2 linked regions of the Lepisosteus oculatus genome follow. The protein of the gene in region 1 binds, or shares a complex with, the protein of each later gene. Links are inferred from orthologs where the notes say so. Each region holds a gene or a part of one and is shown in the gene's direction. Other genes may lie near its edges.

Evidence for each region.
Region 2: the proteins of kcnma1a (region 1) and calcium-activated potassium channel subunit beta-4 are in contact, whole or in part, in a cryo-EM structure (PDB 6V22), measured with the Homo sapiens proteins. The link is inferred for Lepisosteus oculatus from reciprocal best matches to the Homo sapiens genes KCNMA1 and KCNMB4. Residues at the interface, in NP_001154824.1 of Homo sapiens: Phe98, Phe99, Leu102, Phe103, Leu106, Leu107, Arg109, Thr110, Tyr113, Leu114, Thr116, Val117, Asp238, Leu240, Trp241, Leu244, Pro327, Trp328, Asn330, Gln332, Leu367; in NP_055320.4 of Homo sapiens: Thr11, Glu12, Ala13, Glu14, Lys16, Ser17, Leu20, Leu24, Ile34, Phe35, Cys38, Trp39, His105, Thr164, His165, Val183, Leu186, Ile187, Leu190, Thr191, Ala194, Leu197, Ala198, Lys200, Ala201, Met204.

What each region holds. Positions count from the first base shown.
Region 1 is NC_090699.1:18,680,829-18,692,340, reverse strand, and holds the start of kcnma1a (calcium-activated potassium channel subunit alpha-1a), read left to right. Parts: upstream 1-6,587; 5' UTR 6,588-7,489; coding exon 7,490-7,780; intron 7,781-11,512. UniProt on the Homo sapiens protein: Potassium channel activated by both membrane depolarization or increase in cytosolic Ca(2+) that mediates export of K(+). It is also activated by the concentration of cytosolic Mg(2+).
Region 2 is NC_090702.1:23,120,167-23,131,613, reverse strand, and holds the start of calcium-activated potassium channel subunit beta-4, read left to right. Parts: upstream 1-6,252; 5' UTR 6,253-6,622; intron 6,623-7,126; 5' UTR 7,127-8,006; coding exon 8,007-8,342; intron 8,343-11,447. UniProt on the Homo sapiens protein: Regulatory subunit of the calcium activated potassium KCNMA1 (maxiK) channel. Modulates the calcium sensitivity and gating kinetics of KCNMA1, thereby contributing to KCNMA1 channel diversity.

The sequences.
Region 1 (11,512 bases):
GGACAGAAGGGACAGGCTGGTGCTGCTTTTACACAGAGTACAGAGCGCTGGAGGAAGAGCAGTGCTCCCTGCTCCATGTCCGCTCACACCAGACCTCTTGGAAACTTCCGCTTTTTTGCAGGTTTCCTTTTGGAGAGGACACAAGTTTCGTTCAGGGCTGCAGACAGGAAGTGTTTAGTTTTGATTCCTGATTTTGTTACTTTTTTGCGTCCTTAATGCGTGTACAAGATAAGGTTAAGTGTGTGGCTTTGACTGGGCTAGGCTTGGAAACCGAAACCCCCCGCTTTCTTGGTGTAATGTCATGCGAATGGTGTTTTCGGCAGAAAGTGTTGCCAAAGACCTGGAAGGGATTTTTGTTCCCGAGTTTCACCTTTCCCACCAGGTGAAAAACGTTTCCCAATGATTCTTGCTACATACAGTCAATGTGAAGTATCATGTGTGAGACAGCAGACATAAGACTTCTAGCCTTGTTGTGCTGTGCAGTGCCCCAAAAAGAGTGTGACACATGAGATCAGTTAAGAAGGATGAGATCTGTGGTGTTATACAGTGATGTTTGACTAAATGCAAATGGTGTTTTGAGGCTTAGGAATTGTTCAGTACCTTTTCATTAATTAAACCATCAAATACATGTTATAATCTGATTTTTTAAATGTGGATGTGATTGGAATCTTATGAAAAAGGAACCAGACTTAAAGTTAACACTTCACTCCAAAATTGTTCTGAGTGCTTCCAAGATGAATGGGATCCGTGACAGATGATTGCCTGTTCCTAACAAATACAGATGTACGACCTCATTAATCTCTCGATCTTGTCAAGGTGAACAGTCAGTCTAGATCCAAGTCTTCTCATCCTGTAAAAGTTTCAGCTGGAGATGAATCTCTAAAACCTTCATTACAGCTCCTATCAGTGAAGTTACTGTAACCATGGGCCATAGAATAGCCAGGCTGAGCTTCAATAGAATGTGCCTTCTGTTATGGTGCAGGTCCGATCTAAAGTACTGGCCAATGTAGCCTGAAGCTGCAGATTCACACTTCTTCCTGCTGACACTGAAAGGATAGGTGTGTGAAAATGGGTGATCCTGCTTCCAGATAAAGGGAAACCTATTTGCTTTAAAACGGCTAAATCTATTCATTTGAGTAATTTCAACAGTAATATTTCCAGACTGAAAAGGTCTGTGTTTTGCTTCTGTGTTACTAAAATTTATAAAATCTTTTTAGATGAGGGTGCTTCAGGTTCACCTCAAAATTATACAGCATCTACAATATACACAATGCTCACAATCCTTGTTGTGCCTTTGCTGTTTGGTCTTCTGTCACAGTGAGTCGACAAGTGTGAACAATGCATTCTGTCTTAAGTGTGGGTCAGCACAGAAATATGCTTTTAGGAGAGGTAAGCAGGCTAGAGCTGAAGATTTTAAAATGGATACTGTCACAAATTAAAACCAGTATACTCGTGATCAGTGAGTAAAGTGTTAAGTTTATGACAGCCCATCTGGTTGAATTCCTCTATATGGATATTCGGCATATCCACATTGTGTCATTTCACTGTAATGCAATGCCTCCATGAATACATTAATGGTTCAGTCTTAAATGCTGTCCACATGCTACCTACATGAAATAAGATAGGGTATACAATGTGCCTGTTGGTTAAGTGTGTGGCAAATGTGACAAGAGAATTCACTTAATCAAATCTAAGATTTACAATCTAGGTTAATTAGATGAGAACATCAATATAGTGTTTGAGAAACCTGTCACAGGTTGAATGTGCACTGATGAAAAGCAAATTCCTCTAGAAGCGTTCCGATGGGGACACTGCCTTCTTAGGTTCAGATAATTAACCTTACTTGAACCCTCTTTCTTGAGGCTGTCGGCTACAAATTTAATTCATGAGTTTTAGAGAAATTTCTCCCAGGAAATATCTGATACCAGCAAATGTTACAACTTCAAAATATTAATGATTTTCCAAAAATGCTGAAATAGAACAAAGTCTTGACAGAAGATACAGTTCCTTCTCCGTGCACAAGGAAGTAATATCATTTCTGGAGGTGTGTGTTCACCAGTGCTCAGGGCTCTGTGTGCTGTCAGGCTTTCAGATGACCTCTATTCTTCTCCAACACAATGCCAGTATTGTTCTAATACTCACAGATGGGTGTTTTTAAATCTTTTATTGCAATTGGATATACTACAGGAACTAAAGAAAAAAACCCTCCCGCTTTGAACGAGTAACTGGAAATTTCCTCATCCAAAAGGGTTTGTAGCAGGGCCAGAGTCATCAAAAGTATGCACTTTTATATTGTATAGGTGCATATATTATTAAGTGTTGATTGTCAGGGTTCAGAGGATGGTCTGTCAAGGGTTTTGACATGCCAAATAACTGCGTCTTCTACTGAGGGAGAAATTGCCGTTTATTTTTTTAAGGGGTGACATCACTTCAGTAACATGTTCAGTGCCACCAGACCCCATTACACGCAACTACAAACAACATACATGCACTGAACTGTGGTCACACACATCTGTCATGCTCTGGTAATTAGATGCTTTCCAGCTATTTCAGAGTTCATTATCTGATCAGGTCTCAACAGTTCTTGTATGGGAAGGTTTGCGAAGATGAATCATCAAATGAGTTTTCACCTTGTGTTCCACTCACTAGATTGGCGAACTTGTTTCAGTATAGCACCACAATTCCTCTTAAATGTGCTTAAAGAGGATCATGTCTTTGCTGAGGTGTTCGTTTCAGGACAGCTGCTGACAGGCCGTCTTAACTTCTGAACAGATGGGAGTCTGCTGTGAGGGCGGTCTTTGCTGTAAGGTTAGCATTGGAAGCCTTTCGCAGCTTGGCAAAATGCTGTTTCTGTAGCAATAGTTGCTATAGCCTACATTCTTTTTATCTTTACACACTTGCTTAAAGTCCCATGACTTGCTGCAAATGACTATGAGTTATGGTCCAGAAATTAAGCTTTTCATCCTTAGCAATGCCCTGCACTTAACACTGTGGTTGTAAAATAGTTCCTCAGGTTTCACTGACAGCTGCTGTAGTTTTGTTTTCCTAGAAAATCATCATGCATGATCCTGTTGCTACCAGTAACATTGTGGAAGTCTAATCTGAGTGTGCTTGATGTCACTATACCCAGTTTACAACCGGGACATAAAATAATTTAGTGTTGGTTTGTCTTCGTAACCCTGGCTCTCTGGAAAGGAATGCGGTCATCTACACTTGGGAAACACCCCTTCAGTGACGTCATGCCAATGGGACACTGGCATGTCCTTGTGTCATTCTGCCCCTCGGTGTCTAGAAGCCAGATATTCTGACCCAGTCTGTAGCCAGAACCGTAGGCCAGCTGACAGCCTCCCAGAAAGAGTAATGCATCCCATTTCATGCAACTAGCTGAAGTGAAGACCCCGTAGCATTCCTTTCAAGGACTAAATGCTGAGCAGTGGTATGCCCTTACAGTCTTACCCTCAATGTTCCAGTGGCAGGTCTGAGACAAACTCCCTGTCCATCATGCCCAAGCTGCCGCGCTGGCTTCGTCCAAGCAGCAGATCACCGAGCTACCAGCTCCCCGACAACATTCGCCTATGAATGGCCGCCTCTTGTCAGCCCTGTTCCCGTGATTCTTCCTGCTGCTGTGAAAGCCCACCTGCCCCTCCTCGTCACAGCCCCCCAGGAAGTTGCGAATCGGGAACCCTTTCAAGCAAAGGCTGGGAACGTCACCTGCAGAGCCAATACTGCTGGATACCTCTACGGCTGTGCTCCTGTTAATCCTGTTACCACTGTTCTGCTCAATATAATATGTAATGTTTTGGATAGTGGCTTTGTTTCAAGGTGTTTGTCCTTACATTCCACCCAGAACGTTAATGTGTTAAAACCAAAATTATTCAAATCTTTTTTTTTTATTGAATAACGGCAACTACTAACATGAAACGTGTAATACAAGCCATGTTTATCGTTACAAATACATGGTTCTGATTTTCCTCAAATTAAAAAGTACCTTACGTAGGAAAAATAGGAATGAATAAAGACGGATATTAACTTATCAGTATGTCTTTCCTAGTCAATTCTTCCCCTTGTTCTTCTTTTCTGCGAAACAAATGTAGGACGTTCTGCCTCGCCCCTGACGGCCTTGTTTTTCCTGTCAGTTTGCTACACCGATAACATCCACCAGGTGGCGAAAAAAAAGTTTCCATGTGCTCAAACAACTACTGCACCAAGTCGAGTTTTCGCAGCTGCATCTGTCGTCGAATTAGCTCACCACTATGAATAATTAAGGAGAAAAAAGCACCATCGCCTCCCTTTTAAAAAGCTTTTTGTGATCAGACCTTAATTTGCCTCGTTTTTAACGACGACAGCGACAACGCTGCTGCACTCAAATGTTGCTTTTAAAATGCCGCAATAAAATATTTACCGCATGCGGTACTTTTATTTGTGTAACTTCTTTGTATTTAAAACTTTGCTCGTTAAAGCAACGAATAGGCAAAAATCAATTTTTGTAAACACCGCTGATTTAACTACGCATTTCATTCAAAGTAAAGCCTAATTAACTGTCGTAACTTTAAGAATAAACTGTTAGCGTTTTAAATGAGTATTTAAATAGTATAGTATATTAATGTAGTGGACATCGGTGATGTACATAATATCTATATATTTCATCCGGAAGCCATATCTCCTTGCAACTCACAACTGGCAACGCACTGAAGCGCCGCAGGTGTGAGCCTGGCCAGTACTTGGATGGGAGATCTGGGAAACACTAAGGTTGCTGCTGGAAGAGGTATTAGTAAATCCGGTAGAGGGTTCTCACTCTTCGGTCTCTGTGGGTCCTAATGCCCCAATACAGCGACGGGAACACTATACTGTAAAAAGGCGCCATCCTTCGGTTGAAACGTAAACCAAGGTCCTAACTCTCTGTGGTCATTAAAAATCCTGGCGTCCTGTCCTAATTTCCCATTGGCCCTTGCCAATCATGGCCTTCTAATAATCCCCATCTATGAATTGGCTTCATTACTCTGCTCTCTTCCTCACTGATAGCTGATGTGTGGTGAGCGTTCTGGTGCACTATGGCTGCCATCGCATCATCCAGGTGGGGCTGCACATTAGTGGTGGAGAAGGCGAGTTCCCATTACCTATAAAGAACTTTGAGTGGAGTGTCCAGAAAAGTGCTATGGAAGTGTAAGCAATTATCTATTCATACAGCTATATATCTGCCCGTAGCTGTTAAACCAGAATTTAAACTGAGCCCATCATTAAGTCAAAGGGTAGAGATATTAAAACCATCTGTTCACCTAATTTGAAAACCACTTTATTTGGCTTGAGAGATTGATAAGAATTATAAAAAAGTGGAGAAAACCTTTAATTCACACTGCCAGGAGTTTGCATCCTTAAAGATGGCTTTTTTACTCTTGTGCAAGTGGCCTAAAGGTTTCTATAGAGAGCTGGGTCTTTTCTACATAAATCTATAGATAATCTATAAGTTGTTTTAACAGGTTCTATTGAATTTTATAGGTAGTGTATATGTTACCTTAATATGTTCTATAGACCTCTACAGACTGATCTATAGATAACGATACTGTAGGTCATCCGTAGGTTATTAATTACTCCCTGCCTTCTCCCGTCATCCAGAAATACGTTTATAGTATCAACACCAATTTCGGCACAGACTGTGAAACCGGACCTTGCTCAGATAGATACGACATTTTTCTTCACATCTCTGCGACAGACCGGCGTTTGCCGGACTGTCAGATCTGTTATGGTGTAGCTATTACGGTTCACACAAACGCAGCGGGCCCTTGGTGGTACAAAATGGCAGCAGACCTTCCAGGTACTGTAGCGCTAGATTCTTGCATCGCCTAAACGCAGTTCCCCTATTCTAATTTTAATTTAAAAGTGGGTTACTGTGTCCTATCTCTTAACCATCATTTGGTACTGATACCTGTATCTCAGGAGGCTAACAATTGCATAGAAAGGACGGACGCGTATACTGTCTAGCAGATTATCATTTGTCACCAACACTAGGGAAAAATGATCTTTTATGGATATTTATGGGCGATTTGACTATACCATCATCCTTATCAATGACCGGTACACCAAAAAATATATTTTCAAAATTACAATAAGCCTAAGAATATTACAATTATCTTGTGTACAAAAACTTCACCAGTTTCGAAACGAAAACTATTACGGGCACTCAACAGGTTTCCAAGTTTAAGTGCACAAAACCGGCTTCCCTTCCGTGGGTGGAGTGTTGAGTGCTCAGCCAGCGTGGAAGAAAAGGTTACTGAAAAAAACACTTCTGTAAAAACACAGCCCGTCTCCATTTTCACTGGAAATTTTCGGCGACGGAAAATGCGTTATTATGACTATTATAATTTCTTTCTCCCTGGACAGCACCCCAATGAAAGCGCTTATAACCCTGTACCGCTTTCAGCATACAGATAGGACTGCAGACATTTATTGAGAGCTGTAGATTATGTGACAGATACCGCAGCGCCTTTAGAAAGCGGTACAGCTGCTGTATTTTGTATTCCAGTCACTGAGATCTGCCGTAAGGTAAGATTGAAAAACGTTAATATTGAAAATAAATCTCATTACACCGAACCGTTGTCTCGAATGTAGAGGGAATACGAGAACACGGCGTAGCACGTAAAGCCATTTTAATAGTAAAAACCAGAACGCGCCCTTCGCATTGCAAGGACGCAGCGATCTCCAGATAGCAGCAGTGGCTTGCTGGAATAAACATCCCCGGCCGTCTGTCCATCTCTATTATTCGAGCTTGGCTCCGCCTTGATACCTGTAAATCCCCCCTGGCTATCTTTCCAGCAGATCTGACAGCCTGGATCAGCTGGGCGCTGTACGGGCCGAGAGGAAGGTGGTGAATGGGAACGCCAGTATCAACACTAGAGCGGTCTTTGCGGAGGGGGGAAACGCTCTCCAGCCCCAGTTTCTGCAACAGCGAGGAGCGCAGCTACAGACGCGAGAGATCTTCACCCCGTTGAAAACCCCGAAGGCTGTCGACAAGGCAGTGTTTACGCAACCGAAATCGTTTACAGTCAAGCGCTCTGTTGCCTCGATGGAAGAAAGCTAGGTCTCAAGCAAGCCGCTTGAAGTGCTGTTTATAAATATATACTTTGTCTTCAGCACTATACAGAAGCCACAGCAGTCCACAAAAAAACAAGCTGGGCAGCAGCGACGGCTGCGAAATGAAGATTTCTCTGACATGGAATTGCTCCTGAAGGTTTGGAAAATGCCCGACTTGACTTAAAACGAAAACATATAGGCGTCATTAGGGTGAGTTTAAATGCGTTTTGCAGAGGGAAAGAGACTTGATATACGGGCTTTGAAGTGGGGCTCGCCTGTGCGTCACAGGTTTTAGGGGAAATCGATAGGTCTAGAACAAAACAGGGGCAAAAGAAATCCTGAGAAGGGAAGAGGATATCTGAAGCAATATGGCTGGTGAGTGGGGTTGGGGGTGCCGAGAGGAGCTCGCCAAAGCCTCTGGATGCTAGCTATGGCAGATGGCAACGTCTCTGAAGGCATCAGCAGCAGTATGAGTAACAATATCAATAATAATATCAATCCGGACTCGTCCTCGGTGTACATGTCCAAGATGGATGCAGTGATCATCCCTTACTCCGCAGACGTGCCCTGTGATAGCAATGGGCAGCGCATGTGGTGGGCTTTTCTCGCCTCCTCCATGGTGACTTTCTTCGGGGGTCTCTTCATCATCCTTCTCTGGAGGACTCTCAAGTACCTGTGGACTGTGTGCTGTCACTGCAACATCAAACACAAGGTAACTCGCGCGGTCATTTTGAAGGTGTATTCCCCATGTTCCTTTTTGGGAGGAGGTGGGGTGGGGAGTGGGGGGTGGTGGGGGTCGTCAATCTACAGTATGTAACAAACGCAAATTATTCAACTTCTTCAACCTTCCGTAAATACTGCCACCTCCATCTCTGGGGACAAATGATGGAGACATTGATATTGCGTTCTGGTGTCATTTTATTTTAAATATAGTTGTTCGGAAGCCCGACTCTGGAAACGCAGGAAATGTTGTTTTTCCTCGTATACCCCTCTTACAAAAAACAGGCAGCTTTATTCCCTCTTTAAACAAGCGGTGTGTGTGTTTGCTCCTGGAAATAAAAGGTTTGGAATCCTGGATGATAAAGGAGGCCTTCCTCTTTTGACTGGAAAATTGATAAAAACCAGTGATTTCTAAGAGTAATAGCCACACACGTTGATTCACGATCTTTTATTGTGGAGTAAAACAATAATAAACATATAACAATATTACAAATCTGAAATTAGCTTAATGTTTTTCATACCTAGAGATTTCTTTTCCTACCATTGTGTTTTTGGGCTGTCACAACTGGGAAATTTGTTTTTTACACTAAATGTGGGATAGCTCCTTTGTCAGTTCAATTAAATGTTTTATTTGTTGCAAAATCTTAAAAACGCCTTTCATACTTTTACTCTTTCGCCAGACTTTAGTCTTAAAATATGACAAGAATCCTGCATTGCATTAGCCTGTGAATATGTAAGTTAATGGGAAAGAGTGACCCTGCAGCTGTCTGTTTTTTTAATTAATATTTTTCCTGCCCCCTTTATTTGGAAATTATCCATATATAACTTGTATATCAATGGTCGATTTCTTTTTGTTGAGATGGTTTCAGCGCCTGAAGGAATCACATGGATATGCTTTAAAGTAGCCTTGTGCGAAATTTCCTCATAGTGTATGTTTTGAGTTTAACCTTCAGAATGATATATTGAATTCTGTGGGCAAAACCACTTTGTCAGAATTATATCACAGTATGACAGGTATGGATTAGAAAAGAAAACCTACAGTATGTAAACTATGTATGTTAACTGATATTTCATGTCACCAGAACTTTGCCCAGCCATCATAATATGTTAAGCTAACACTTGCTCAGTCTTGCACAAATAATCTTCTCTGTTTGTACAGTGTGGTGCTAGCAGTGCATTATGACACAAGTAAGATAAGGCATTTTCTGTATATAGTCAATTTTTAACCCATATTCCTGAAATTATTAACGTGGCACTTTAGATTCCAAAGAATTCGTTTTCTAAAAGCATTGCTTTGTTTTTGAATGTAGTTCACCAAATATCACAGAAATAATATTTATATTGCAAAAAAAAATATTTCTTGGAACCAAAGCAATTTGAGTGAATGGCAGTTTGCGTGTTTATTTCATAGACTGTGTATTGAACAGAAACCCATGCTTGTTTTTAAAATTGAATTCCATTTTATCACACAATGCCTTTTATTGAAGTGCAGATTTAAGGGATTTTCTATTAAAGTTTATATGAAGCAACATAAGGGAATTTATGTAAGATGTGCATTTAGGCACACAGCACTTCTAAGACCTAAATTTTAAAATTCTCCTGCAAATAAACGCTAAGAGGAAAAGCTTCTCTGTTTTATGAGGGTGGTGGGAGAGGTGTGTTAATATGTCTCTCACCGAAGCCCTTGGAGGCTAAGGTACAAATGTTTAGTCTCCATTCCTCATTACCTTTTAATGACCTGGATGGGCAAGCTGCATATTAAAAGACGGAATCCTACTGAAACTCACACCTACAGGTTGTAACAGAAGAGGTTAAGCGGGGAAGACAGAAAGAGGCCTGCACATTTAGCTTTAGTTTTTTTAAACGAGAATCGAGGCCGCTTTGATTTACAGAAAATCGCCTTTTGAAAAATAGACAGGGACAACATATTTTGAAGAGACAAGAGCTAAAAGTAACACAACAGCGGCAGCATCTGTACAAATGATCTGACATGGGATCTGATTATGATCTTTTTATGTGGTATCTTTTGCTAAGAATATCGGAAAAGATAACAAGCCTCCAGTTTTGTAGGCTGTTTATAAATACGTGGCAGCATTTTGCTACCACTGTTACCCATCTGTAAAGTCTGTCTGGGAGGAGGTGTGTCTAGAGTAGCTTGTGTCTAGCAGAAGGGTTTGTGTGGCTCGTTGTTGAAATAGAAGAAACGGACCAGGGGCCAACTTTCTCCAAACCCCGCCTAGTGGGGCAGCAGTTGTCAAGGATCTGCACCTCAAACTGAAAGGTTATGTGTTCAAATCCCAGGTGAGACACAGCTGCATTACAACGTATTTCAGTTGTATTACGTCCTGACTGTTCCTGTGAAGCTCCCATCTGTGTAAATGCACGCAGATATATGTGGCTTCAAATAAAGGTTTCAGTCCAAAAAAATTAGTCGTTGGCCTAACCTTCCTTCTCCACTCAAGGAGTCTTCTCTGTGTGTGACCTTGGGGTGCTGATTCCTTGTCCTTCCAAGCAGGGATGTTTTAATACATGGATGACTGATTGCAAGACCTCTTTTTCACTGAAGCAGCATGCATTCTTTCAGATTGAGGGGTGGCCAGTCAATGCTCTAACAACGTTGTCAGGGATGGACCATAATAAGAGTAACCCCTGTTGGAGATAAGCAGTGGTGATCCTAGGTCTGACCTCTCTACTGGAATGCAGTAAGGACGATGTCATCTTTGGCCTTTTAATAGCTGTTTTACTTTTTGAATAGTACTGGTCATCTTTCCTGGCCACAGCTTGCATTAGTTTAGTTATTCACTCAATTTGTTGAGGGCATGTGCCATTGATTTTTGAAAGATTCATACAGCAGTGGCTCTTGGTGTGATGAAAGCAGCTCTCCCTGCCTCTGCTGAGATTCTATCCCTGTCATTCTCAGGCTCCAAGCACACACAGTGCCACTCCATGGACAGTGGATAAGTCCACTAGCCCAAAAAACGACTGCGAGTTTTACACTGTCTAGATTTCAGAGAGGGGTGACATCACTTCTATAACTGGCTTGGTACACTGAGCCCTATTACACTTGCATGTACTGTACAAAGACGTAATTTGCATAGAAATCAGATAACTTTCAGAGATTGTAGCAACTTAAATGTTCTATAATGTATCGTTTTAAGGTTGAAAAGGTGCAGAGGCAAGCAGCGCAATGTCTGATGAGGATGATAGTCACATATAATCACAAACGTTTGTTTTAATTAATATTTCACAGTAGTTTAGTTTGTTACTTGACCATATCAGTCTCATAATCTCACTGTAAAGGCTGTGATGCCTGTTTCTAAAGGCTGGGCAGTGATCCCTTTCCTGCTGTGTGTTTATCATTTTCTTTGTGCTGTCTCACAGTTGTGTGACGTCTGTACAATGCTGGTAATCAAAATAATGAATTTGATGTGCTAGCATTGGTATTACTGTTCAAGTCATGAATCGTACCTACAGTGGATGTGGTCAGCAATTTGATGAGATGGATCCCGAAAGAGTGCAAAATCCTTCTTTGTTGAGTCCACAGCCCTTGGTGTTGAGAGCTGACATTGGTACTGTTTCTGTTGTACCTCAGGGACTGAGGAACAGGGAGTTCCAACTCTACAGAGGCCAATGGATAACAAAGTATTAGATAGCTTTTAAAATGTGATTGTAGGTAGCCTTGTGGCAGAAACTGTTAATTAGCAAAGTGTCTGTATGTCACAGA
Region 2 (11,447 bases), on another chromosome or scaffold:
ACGATACCATAAAGGGTTAAAATACTGCCCTAGACTTCACCAAGTTATTTAAATAGTAAATTGTGAAAGATCTGGTTTGGTTTCAATTACTATAGTGATTTTTTTATAAACAATAGTGTAAACGGTTGAGAAGAAGAACCGCCTCCATTAATTAGAAACAAATGAGTGCTAAAGAAAGTATTGTAGCAACAATTTGGGGCATAATGTTTCTAAAGTGTAAATTGTTTGAACTTTTAGGCCTGAAAAGCACCAGTTATCTGATTGAAGAGGTTGTAAAGCAGCTAAAAAAATGCTGGTGTCATTCAATTATCTTTAATAAACTGTCTACCACCAAGTTTGTATCCAGATTCAACCTAAAATACAGTGCTGGTTATTCCATTGTGTAATTTAATCAACCACAGAATTCTTCATATTCATGCATTTCTGATTCCCGTAGAAAGTGAATGAGCTGTGCTGCTTTTCACACGGTATCGCTGTCAGTTTATATCCAAATCAGAGTCAACTTTATTGCCAAACCAGCCCTTTGAGATGTTAGGAATTTTTTGTGGTGTGCTTGACCAAAGCAAAGATACAAGAAAAGAATGAAAAATCGTTAACTTATCCAGCATACTACCGAGTGCTACATTACAGTGAAGACAGAATACACACATTTACCAATAAATACAATATTAAATACTTTTATAATTGTGTTGACTCTTCCAGAACCGCTCTGTTCTCTGATCTGATTTGATCTTTGCCTTCTTCCAGAGGGAAGGAGCTGAAAGAGGGTAAAGGGTGGGTGAGATTGGTCGCTCATACTGTCATTTTCAGAGGTCTTAGATTTAAACGTGTTGCGTATATAGAAGTAGCCGATGATAAGTGACTGCCATCACTGCTCATTCACGAAGCACTGTGCTCCATTCTATCCAGCTGTTTTCCTTCCTAAGTGACTACGTTCCCCTTACCAGACTGTCACAAAAAACATTAACGCACTCTCAGTTGTCCTGTGAAAATAGACCATGGCTTCCCGAGACACAACCAACTTTCTGAGCTGCCTGACAAAATAGTCTCTTATGGGCTTTCTTCACTAAGTGGTGTGCACTAGCCTCCCATTTCAAGATGGGGGAGGTTGTTGTGCCAAGAAGCATAAAGATATCTATCTTCTCCACCATATGACTGTCTAACACAAGAAGTTGTACTTCATTCCTGTCACGGCTGAAATCATAGATTACCTTTTTTGGTTTTACCAACATTGGGCCAGAGATTGTTTAGACTGCACCAGCTCACTAAAGCAAAAATAAGGAATATTTATTGAGAGAAAATAAAATTAGACTGCAGGCTGCTGATTTCTTTGTCTCAGAAGGAGAGTTAACTGCTTACAGTACTTGGTAAATGTAACAGCCTTAAATGTACTTTGATTGGCTTACAGGCATAAATCTTCTCTTGACCAAAGGTGTTTGGATTTAAAAGTGCTAGCAGGCAAATTGCTTTGTGTAGCAGAACTAATGTCAAAGGGCACTTATGGTATTAATCATGTACATAACATTGTTTAAGGTTTAAATTTTTGCTTTCTATTTTTTAAAGGCAGCAATGGTAACCACTGCACCACCTGTGAGCATTCATTAATGGAATAATAATAATTGCCAAATGATCTTGAAACATGATTTCTTCCTTAAAGTGATTTAAATTGTAGCGAGTATACTGTAAATCCATAAATTCTAGCCTTAAATGGAAATTAAATCAAGACCACTTTTGTTTGAGAGAAAAGAAATGTATTTTGAAATGGTACATGACAAAACCATGTGCTGTACTACACAAATTCTGAAATTCCATCTATGCATATTTGCTCTTGGGTCAAGTGCACAGGAAACCATTGCTTGATGTCATAGAGTCAGGATAAGTAACACCTGGAAGCTCCTGCTCTAGCAGGGCGAAGGTAAAGGAGGTGGAAAGTGAAAAAAGAGACCAGCTGGGAGTAGGCTGTTTTCTGTACTTGATTAATGTACAGTAGGTGTCCTTTTAAAATATTAGATTTCCAGACACCACTATGTTAGGGAGAAAATGCCGTCTCTTTTTATTTGCAAAGAAACTTTTTAATGCATACATGTAGCATGATATATTAAATAAATCCACTATAAATGTTTTTGCTGAAAAAATGTTACTTCTGTGAAATTGGATATTCAACCTTTCATTACTGACTAACCCCAGCAGAGGGCGATCTGTAATCACTTAAAGCACCCGACTGAGGTCGAGTTGATTCTTATCCTAGTGTTTTATGCACTGATACCGTGGATCAGTACAACACCCACAATACTTATCTAAAGGGATAAAACAAACATAGCAGATGGTGTTAGTTGACCTTTTTCTGCTTCTTTGTCAGGAAAATTCAACATTTTAACCTTGAGCTTCACTGGAGGGAAGAAACTGATTTGAAATAGGCTTTCATACAATAGCTTCAGGAAATCTAACTTCATGGTAGCTGTGTTCTGTCTTTGGAAAGTAAAGTATTTGTCGCCACCAATCAGTAGGGAGAAAAAGTATATGTTTACTCTGATCAGGTTGGCAGAGGATAATTAACAATTCTTTTTTAAGATTAACATCTGTGTGCATTTAGCAGTCTAAATGAGCTATAAACCAAAATAGAATAACTAATGTAGGAACTTAAAGTTTGCACTAAACCCTAAACATTCAGGACACATTTATTACTGTATCACTTCAGTCATGTATTTCACTAGCACATTTTTTCCCAATAAGGTAGAGAAATAATGCGGAGGTACGTTTATTGTCTTCCCCAAAAGACAGAAATGGATTTAAACATCTTTTTGCACGTTCTGAATAACAATTTAAGCCCATTAAAATCAACTGATTTCAAATAAGGTTGCTAAATAATGCAGTATTTGCGAAGGTGTAATTTTTGGGTTCTTCTCTGGGAGTCTGCTCTTCAGTAACAGGCGATGAATGATTGCTGACGGGCACTCCTGTCCCATCACAGATATTGCTGCTTTTAATGGAGCTTAACACTCTCTTCAGTGTACTTCCCTGGATACCTAAACATGATTCTGTTACTGATGCATTTTATTGCATTTCTTGTGCAAGTTATCTAAGAGCTGACGTGTTGCACCGACCTGCATCACCGTCTCTGGGCTTCTTGGAGGTTGCAAGACATCAGATTTAATCAACAATTTCTTATTAAGTATAGCACCTCTGGAAATCTGCTATCTCTAATCAGTTCTAAAGTCTCTCATTATACACGGTGTGAGAGATTTTATCCCCTTCTCTAATTCACAAATGAATGCCTGCACTCCAAACTGCCCCTGTGTACTGTCCAACGCCTTTATGTTTATTTCACGAACAGTGGTTCTGTTTTTAATATTTAATGTACATCTCATTAGTGAATGATTGATAATGCCATGGCATTGAACAGCCCTATGGGGCTCAACAGTCAGGAGGTCTACCAGCGACAGGACAACAGGGAAGAAACAGAAACGACTCGTCAATTATTACCGCTCTACAGTGGCTCTACTGTGAAATATTTACTTAATTGGATGAGTATTCTAGGTTAAAAAAACATTGAATCCTTTTAACATTTTGCCCCGAGGTGCAGTAAAGCAGCAGGCCCTAGTGTTAAAAAACACTACCGATTAATTATAGAAAACATCAAACCTTCAAACCTGTTCCATTGCACTTCCTTTGTAGTCCAGTAATCCGTCACTCCAATACAGAGTCACGGAGGAGCCAGAGCCCATCCTGGAAAGCTACTTCCATAATGTATTCAGAAGTTCAATGTGTATTGTGTTCTTCTTGCTTTATTTTTTTCTGTTGTTTGTGTTGAAAAACTGTGGACTAGAGTAATTACTACCAATTAATTTAATTACTGCCAATTAATTACTACCACTTAGGAGTTCAGAAAAAAGGAATGACAACTATAGTTCTAACAGATTTCTGAGTGCCAAAGGCAGAGTATTCCTGTCAAATTCCAATATTATTCCAAAATACCTCTATAATATTAAAATCCTAGATAATCTGTGACTATCAAGAAACCCGGCTCTTAAACACTTAAGGGTTTTGATCCACACAAGTGATTATTAAGTAATGCTACATTAACATATTAGATGAAATACTGTATAGTTGTCTTGCCAAATTTGTTTAATTAAAACAATGTAATTTTCACTTCTGTAACGCTTAAAACATATGCTGCAAGTGGCTTACTGTATATTTAACAGTTTACACAGAAGGACAAATATTTTTGTTGAAGTAAAGGTATTCATTCCTTTTTAGCATTTGGCTCCTATTTTGTTATATTTGGAATTGAGTGTGTGTATGTGACTCCTCTGAATTGCCTAACTTTGAGCCGCTTGTCTTTTGTCACTGTATATGTGGCCCCAGACAGGGGGTTTGTTGCCAATTGGAGAAGAGGAGGCTCCATCACCATGACCACACTGCAGGTTTGAACGTTCCCAGTAAGTCACTTACTAGAGAGCCCCAGTCCTACATATGACCATCAATTAAGGCTACAGGATGTGGATGTGACCCAAGAATATCTAAGCATATCTTCCAGATTTCTCTCTATCGTTCTGCAAAAGGCTAGAATCTTTAAGGTACACAGTTAATCAGAAAGTAGCCAGGCATTGTATGGGTATTTGAAGTCAAGACTGATCTTGAGAGAATTGAAGGTAACACTATTCCAGTTTGCAGCAGGATGATTTTGGAGATAATAAGGATAGTTAGCAAGACCTGTATTGTTAAATCAATTGTGAAACGTTTGTCTGATGTTAAAGGACGCAAGAAAAAGTTTCTTTTGTAACTTGCAGCTCCACTCCACGTACGGATATTTATTAAATCTGTTGCCCTTTTTTAAAATTAGATATTTAATCTTTTTAACTTCATGTGCATTATGATAAGGAACCCCTTGGCCAGCTTTAAAATGGCTGACAGGTATATAAAGATAACAGCACTAAACAGTTCAAGAACAGCACTGAAGCGTGCCTCTGTTAAATTGAAAGTCTGCTTAAATGAATTAAAGAAATTGCTATAAGCTCATTGCAATGTGTTCTAGCAACAGGCAACAGACTAGTCTTGCAGGGAATTCAAAATAAGGTGGCAGAGAAATAGGCAGCTAATCAAAATGCATCAGTTTTTCATGTACTGTATGCATTTGGAACTGAAAACATAAACTGGTCTAATATTTGAAAGTCATGCAAAAAGATCTTCGGAGTGCAAAAAGTCATACTGCTAGCGCGTATGTGCTGTTTTTTATTAAGAGCAATACAACACTGCTAAGACGTATTCATGGTTATTGACAAATCCTATAATCAATTTCTTATGGCACAGTGATAAGAAATTGATTATAGGATTTGTCAGTAACCATGAATATTCATGTATCCCATCATACTCCAGGTTGCCATGACCCCTACCAGGTGTAAGTACTTTCTGATAACAGATGGATGGATATCCCATCAGATTTGTAAATTTCTACCAGTGATTTGGGTTGTGAAGTGTTGGAGGAGGCAAGCAAATTTTCATTGTCATCTGTTTCCAAAGAAAGTTATGATTACATCTGAGCTTTCATTCAACAATACCGACACCAAGCCTTGGTTAATAAAGCAAAAAGTCTTTAAACGAAGCACAGATGTAGCCCTTTTAAACCTGATTGTTATTACCGAGTGCTATTCAGCATTTGTTCTCTTGTGGTCTAACAGGTTTTGAAACACTGTTATTTATGGAGGCAGGTGTTTCTACTCAAAACGTAAAACATTACTCTGTCACATTTACCTCCTACCCCATGACCTGCTGGTCTGTCTGCTTCAGTCTCTGAGATCTCCTTTTCCTTAGTGACAGTCAACTACGCTGTCCACTCGGTGCTGTTGAGGACTGGCCTCTCGCATGAAGTGATAAATTAGTTTTCTTCCATTGGGATTCATTGTTCTTTTTTTAAATGTAGAAGTAGTATCAGAGCGATACTCAGGTTGGAAACTTGCTTGCAACAGTTATATCCACCCTTCCCAGTATCTGAGTTGGAAAAAGCACAGTCACTACGTTTCATGACTCTGCAGAGCCCTTGACAACTCAGTGAGAAAATTATTACAATTAAGCAGATCAACACAACCCGTTTTTCATTTTTACTTAAGGTTCAGCACCACCCATTAATTGATTGGATCAGTTTGCTTACCACCTTTTCAGCACCACCCATTAATTGATTGGATCAGTTTGCTTACCACCTTTTACATTAAGCACAGTTAATGTGCTCGCTTTTGGTCTGTGTAGTTGATCCAGTAAAAATGGATGGATATTGGAGCAGATGATAATACAGTATGATGTGCATACACACAAGATTAAATAAACATAATTAATAATAAGCACTTTAGACACTAAATTGCTGCTCTTCAGTTGGCTTTAATTAGGAAACATTCTTAATTCGTGGTTATCCAGTTCTTTCATAAAGCAAAATGATAAAACCGAATATTAACGAGAACGAACTCCGAAACTGCCGTGCTCACATACAGACGTTCAAGCTGTTGTTTTTTTTTCTTTCTCCTGTCGTGTTAGCAAGCACATCGGTTCCTTTCTGAAAACTAGGGCACCAGTTAGAAGTCTGTCCGAAGCTGCAATGAACTCGAATCCTGGAAGGAATAAAGTCGTTAAGGTAAGTGAGGACTTGCACGCAAACCGGTAGAGATACCGACGTGAAAAACGTCCAGGAAAGAGCTGATGTGAGTCCTGCATCTTTTAAAACACGTGTTTTTCGCAGACCACCGTAATCAACATAGCATCTGTTGAGCAATTTAAATATATACGGAATTATTTATTTTGCATCTGTAAACTGAAGGCTTTACGTTTTTGTAGGCCCAGAATTATGGTGTTTTATCGTGTGCGGTGCAGAAAGATTACCCTAAGCTTTATAAAGCCGTAGATCCACTTATGTAAACAATAGGGATAACCATTGGAAATACGAAAATATAAAAACATTATTATGAAAAGCGTGAGTTGCCGTTCCTAAACATTATACATTTAAAAAGACTACAGATAAGATTAAATAATTCAATATATTACATCGTTTAATCAATAATACTGTACTTGTGCCTTCACATCCTTTGGACAAACATACACGATATGTTAATGACTTATTTTTAATTTTTTTCAATTGCAGGTAGGGACGGGAAAAGACTTTATAACTAATATGGCAATACAGATCAATTTTAACTGGATTATATAGAATGTTTTTACGGGAATTAAAAGGCAATGAGCAAGGCTGGTGTCAAAACTCGTATCTCAGAAACGTTTTGCTCTTTATCCGAATACAGCAGCGTCTCCTTTAAACGAGCTGACACTATTTGCACAGGTGACAACGTTGACACTGCTTGAGAAACAATTTGTTGGCGAGATGCCGCTTTAAAAATTGTCAACGGTGCTGAGCGAGAGATGTCTACTGTTGCGGTTCCAGCGGCGCTCGGAAATGCGTTCAACTCATTGTATCATTTCAGACATATGAATATCTCAGTCATCGCGATATTGGGAGTTGCCGACTTCTGTTGCTTCAAGGTTTTGAAGTTTGAAGTTAGGAGTGTTAGTTTTTTCAGCACACGTAGGTCCTAGTTGGGACCAGAATACTATTTCTACAGCACCAGGCAGACGGCGGTGATGGACAGACTGCTGCTCACCAACATCTGATCGCCAGTCTAGAGCCGTATTTACTCAGAACTCTGTGCTAGTTCTACATAAGAAGCTTATCTAATCCCAGATGTAGCTTTCAGCCTTTCAGCAAAGTCCAAATGTGAGTGGACTGCCGAGATCGAAATCAGAAAGCACGCTCGGGAAAGGAGGGCTGCAAAGAAGCGTTTTGCCAAGTTACAGTTGCAGTGGTATAGGGGTGTCATAAATCAAAAGCGATCGCGGAGTTCGCCTGCGAAAGAAGTTTCACCAGCTACTTCTTCACGGTCCTAGATATTGGCACAGGTGGAGAAAGACTTGCCTTCTTCACTAGATATAAATTGGTTTAATGCTCGTGATCACCGCGCTGCCGAGGACTGATGGCGAAGATCAGAGTGTCTTATGAGTACTCGGAGGCGGAAGATAAAAGCATCAGACTCGGGCTCTTTCTGATTATCTGTGGCATCGTGTCCCTCTTCATTCTGGGGTTCTGCTGGCTGAATCCCACCATTCAGAATATGCAGTGCAAGGCGGCGAACTGCACCGTGATCTCTGTGCAGCAGAACGGGGAAATGTTCGAGTGCACTTTCACGTGCGGGACGGATTGTAAAGGCACCTCGCTGTACCCCTGTCTCCAGATCTTCGTGAATAACTCAGAGTCCAACTCCACCGCTTTGCTGCATTACGACGAACAGCAACTTGTAATGAACCCAAAGGTAAGTCTAGATTGTAGACCCAGTGCCATCGAGGTGTGAACGCTACACATGCCTGCGTGCACAAGCACACACAACACTAAACCTTGTTTTTGTCACTTTGAGCTGTCTTTTATTAATATAATTCTGCCTGTTGCAATATAAAAAAAACATCAGATTGCTCATCTTTCGGACAACGATATTTCTCACGTCACAGATGGAGTGTAGAGCTTGATTACTGTTGCTAGCGGTTTACTAAGGACATACTGTTTCGGCATTATTTTGTTGTTGATGTTTTAGAACAAACAGCAGATGGCTTTGCAGCTCAATGGTGCCTATTTGCAGACAGTAGGGCGAAATAACGTGAGACCAGCTCAAGAATGAGTTGAATTCATTTTCCATTTGCACCAGTGGTATTGTAATGATATATACTGTCAATTGTTTCTCTTATGTAGTGAAGCATTTTCTTTGGGTCGAGTTCAACACACGAGAGGCATATACACTTTTTTCATTGTTTTTGCCTTGACACAGTGCTGAGAGGACTTTTTGGAACTAATGTAGACCTACTAGGTGTGTACAATGTTTGATTAATTCTGTGGCTTAAAACGTCTTGTTCTTGTAGCCACATACTCTTGAAGCAGACAGAGAATACAGCTGTGTGAATTAAGCCAGTGTTTGCTTCAAGAGTTCTATAAAGAAAATGCATTTGCCTGTTATTGTGAATGATGTCAGTATCAACTACATTTTCTCAACGGAATTGTAAAACTGGTGAGAAAAAAATCAGTCAACGCCATCAGGACTGTATAGAGAATATTCATTGAGGTCTAAAACTCCCTTCTGAAATTATTATATACATGCAATCTTGAGGGTGTGTCACACAGACTTAAAAATACTTAAATCATTTAAAATTTCAAAATATAATTGAATTATGCTGTTGTCTTTCTTGCAAAAGAATACGTTTAATTATATTAGTAGAGCAGCTGTAGGGGTGGCAGTAACTATTGCAGTCCAAATGGAAGCAAACCTTTAATGTAAATTATAAATAATAAGCGTGAAACACCACCCGTTGCTTCCTTAAGGTTATAATCATTATCAACTAAGAAAAAAGCCTCAGACTAGTAGTCTTTGACCATATCAATACTCATGTTTCTTTGCCACAAGAAATATTTTTTTTATAGCTGAAGACAAGCATTATTGTGTATGACTTATCTTTAACATGGAAGCCTTTTGAAATATTAAAAGAAGATGTTTTATAATGTAATAGAAATGAACAGGTGTCTGTCTGCTTGTGTATAAAATGAATGATAGAGTATGTACTGTATAAATGGATTAAATGATGTATTACAACACAACTCTTTGGAAGTACAGCGGTATAAAGCCTGGAAATTTAAATTGTGCTGTGAGAACGATAGATTTGGATATTACTGCAATCATAGCATATGATTGAGACTTGTGTACCACACTACACAGGAGTATTGTTTGGCACCAGTGAGAGCTGTTGTGTGGTGTTCTGTTTCATGCTTGGGGAAGAATCACAGACATTTTCCTCTGTCATGTCTGTTGGTTATTGGGGATGGGTTTAGAAATAATACATCTTTCATGACAAAATTAAAGGTGCATAGTAGGAGGCCACCATTCTTCTTTGCCACCACTTAAATATAAGAACCTTCCATACACAGCAAGTTCAGTAGATTTGTTTATGTGTAGTGTAAAAGGACATTGGGTATCCTGAAGACCCTACTAGCCTCATACCTGCCAACACACAGCTGAGAAACATGCAAGTTAGATTTTATTGTTGCTCAGTGGCAGATTAGTATAGGAGCCACTTTCTTTGATAATATGCTAGAACAATGAAATAAATAGTGGACTGTAATTTTCATAATGAAAACAAAGCTGGAATTAAATAATTTGTGGATGGGAATCCTAGATTAACAGAAGCTAGTTTCCAGAAATTGAAATGCATTCAATGTCATAAAAAGGCACTTGAGCTGATGGCCTTTGTTAAGGGTAGTTTTAATTACGGAGTTATTTGAGTTGAGGGTGTGCTTTGAAAAGGTTAACGTGAAGGATCATCATTTTTCCCTTAAAAACTGTTGTATAATCAATTTTTGTGTCTGCTTGCTTAACTGCTGACAGACCTCTAATGTGATTCCCCAGTATGGAGATGCATTGAAAAGCTATTGAAAATGTGCCAAATGCTCATTATGGTTATATCACTTAGAAATTAATTTCTAAAGGAAAACAGGAGTCATTGCCACAGTTGACAGTTATTCACTTCTGATAATTACTTGCGGTAGCAGTTCACTGGCAAGCTCCAGGGCGCGAGGGTTATCAGTTGATCCTGACGTTAAAGCAAGGCGTTGGCTCATCTGAAAGGTCTGACTGTCACAGAGAGCCGCGCGGCTCTGCGCTGCGGAGTTGTGCAGGGAGCACTGATCTATTGCCATTGTCATTTACAGGAGATTAAACTCCAGGACTGGGGTTAGAATTCAGTGTCTGGATACCAGCAGGTCCACTGGAAAGGTCACAGCTCTTTTCTTGAAGCAGTGTTATTTCTGCAGGCTCTTGGAGTTCAGGAGCAGTTGTTTATGCAGTAAGTGGCAAGAAAAAGGAGTAATTTCCATTGATTTTAGCTGTCTCTCAAAAATGCAACAGGAATAATTAAATTATTATTCATGTTTAATACTACAGCATACAAGGCAGAGTTACCCTATTGGGTCATTAAGGGTCAGGCTCTATGAATTGCCTGTACTGCTTAAGGGATTATAAGGATTTCGAACTAAACACAGTTATTTAAAAGGACCAATGTTAGTATGAAAGTTTGCAGTAAAATTATTTTCTGAATGGCTTAAATGTCAGATAAGGACATTAATGCCTTTGGCTGCAATCATCTAATTATTTTTATGGCATTTTTTCATTTGCAATGCAGTGAGTATTGATAACAGAAGGCATCTTTATTTTGAACTTCTTAAGAAAAGAGTGACCTTTTGAAAGGCCAGGTAATCAAAGAACAAGCTTCTGTGAGCCACGTTGCTAGTAGTTTTATTAGGCATCTGTAGTAATGAGTCATATTGGAAATTTAAGCATCACGTGCCCATGCCATGATCTGAAGTGTACTGCAAAACTGTC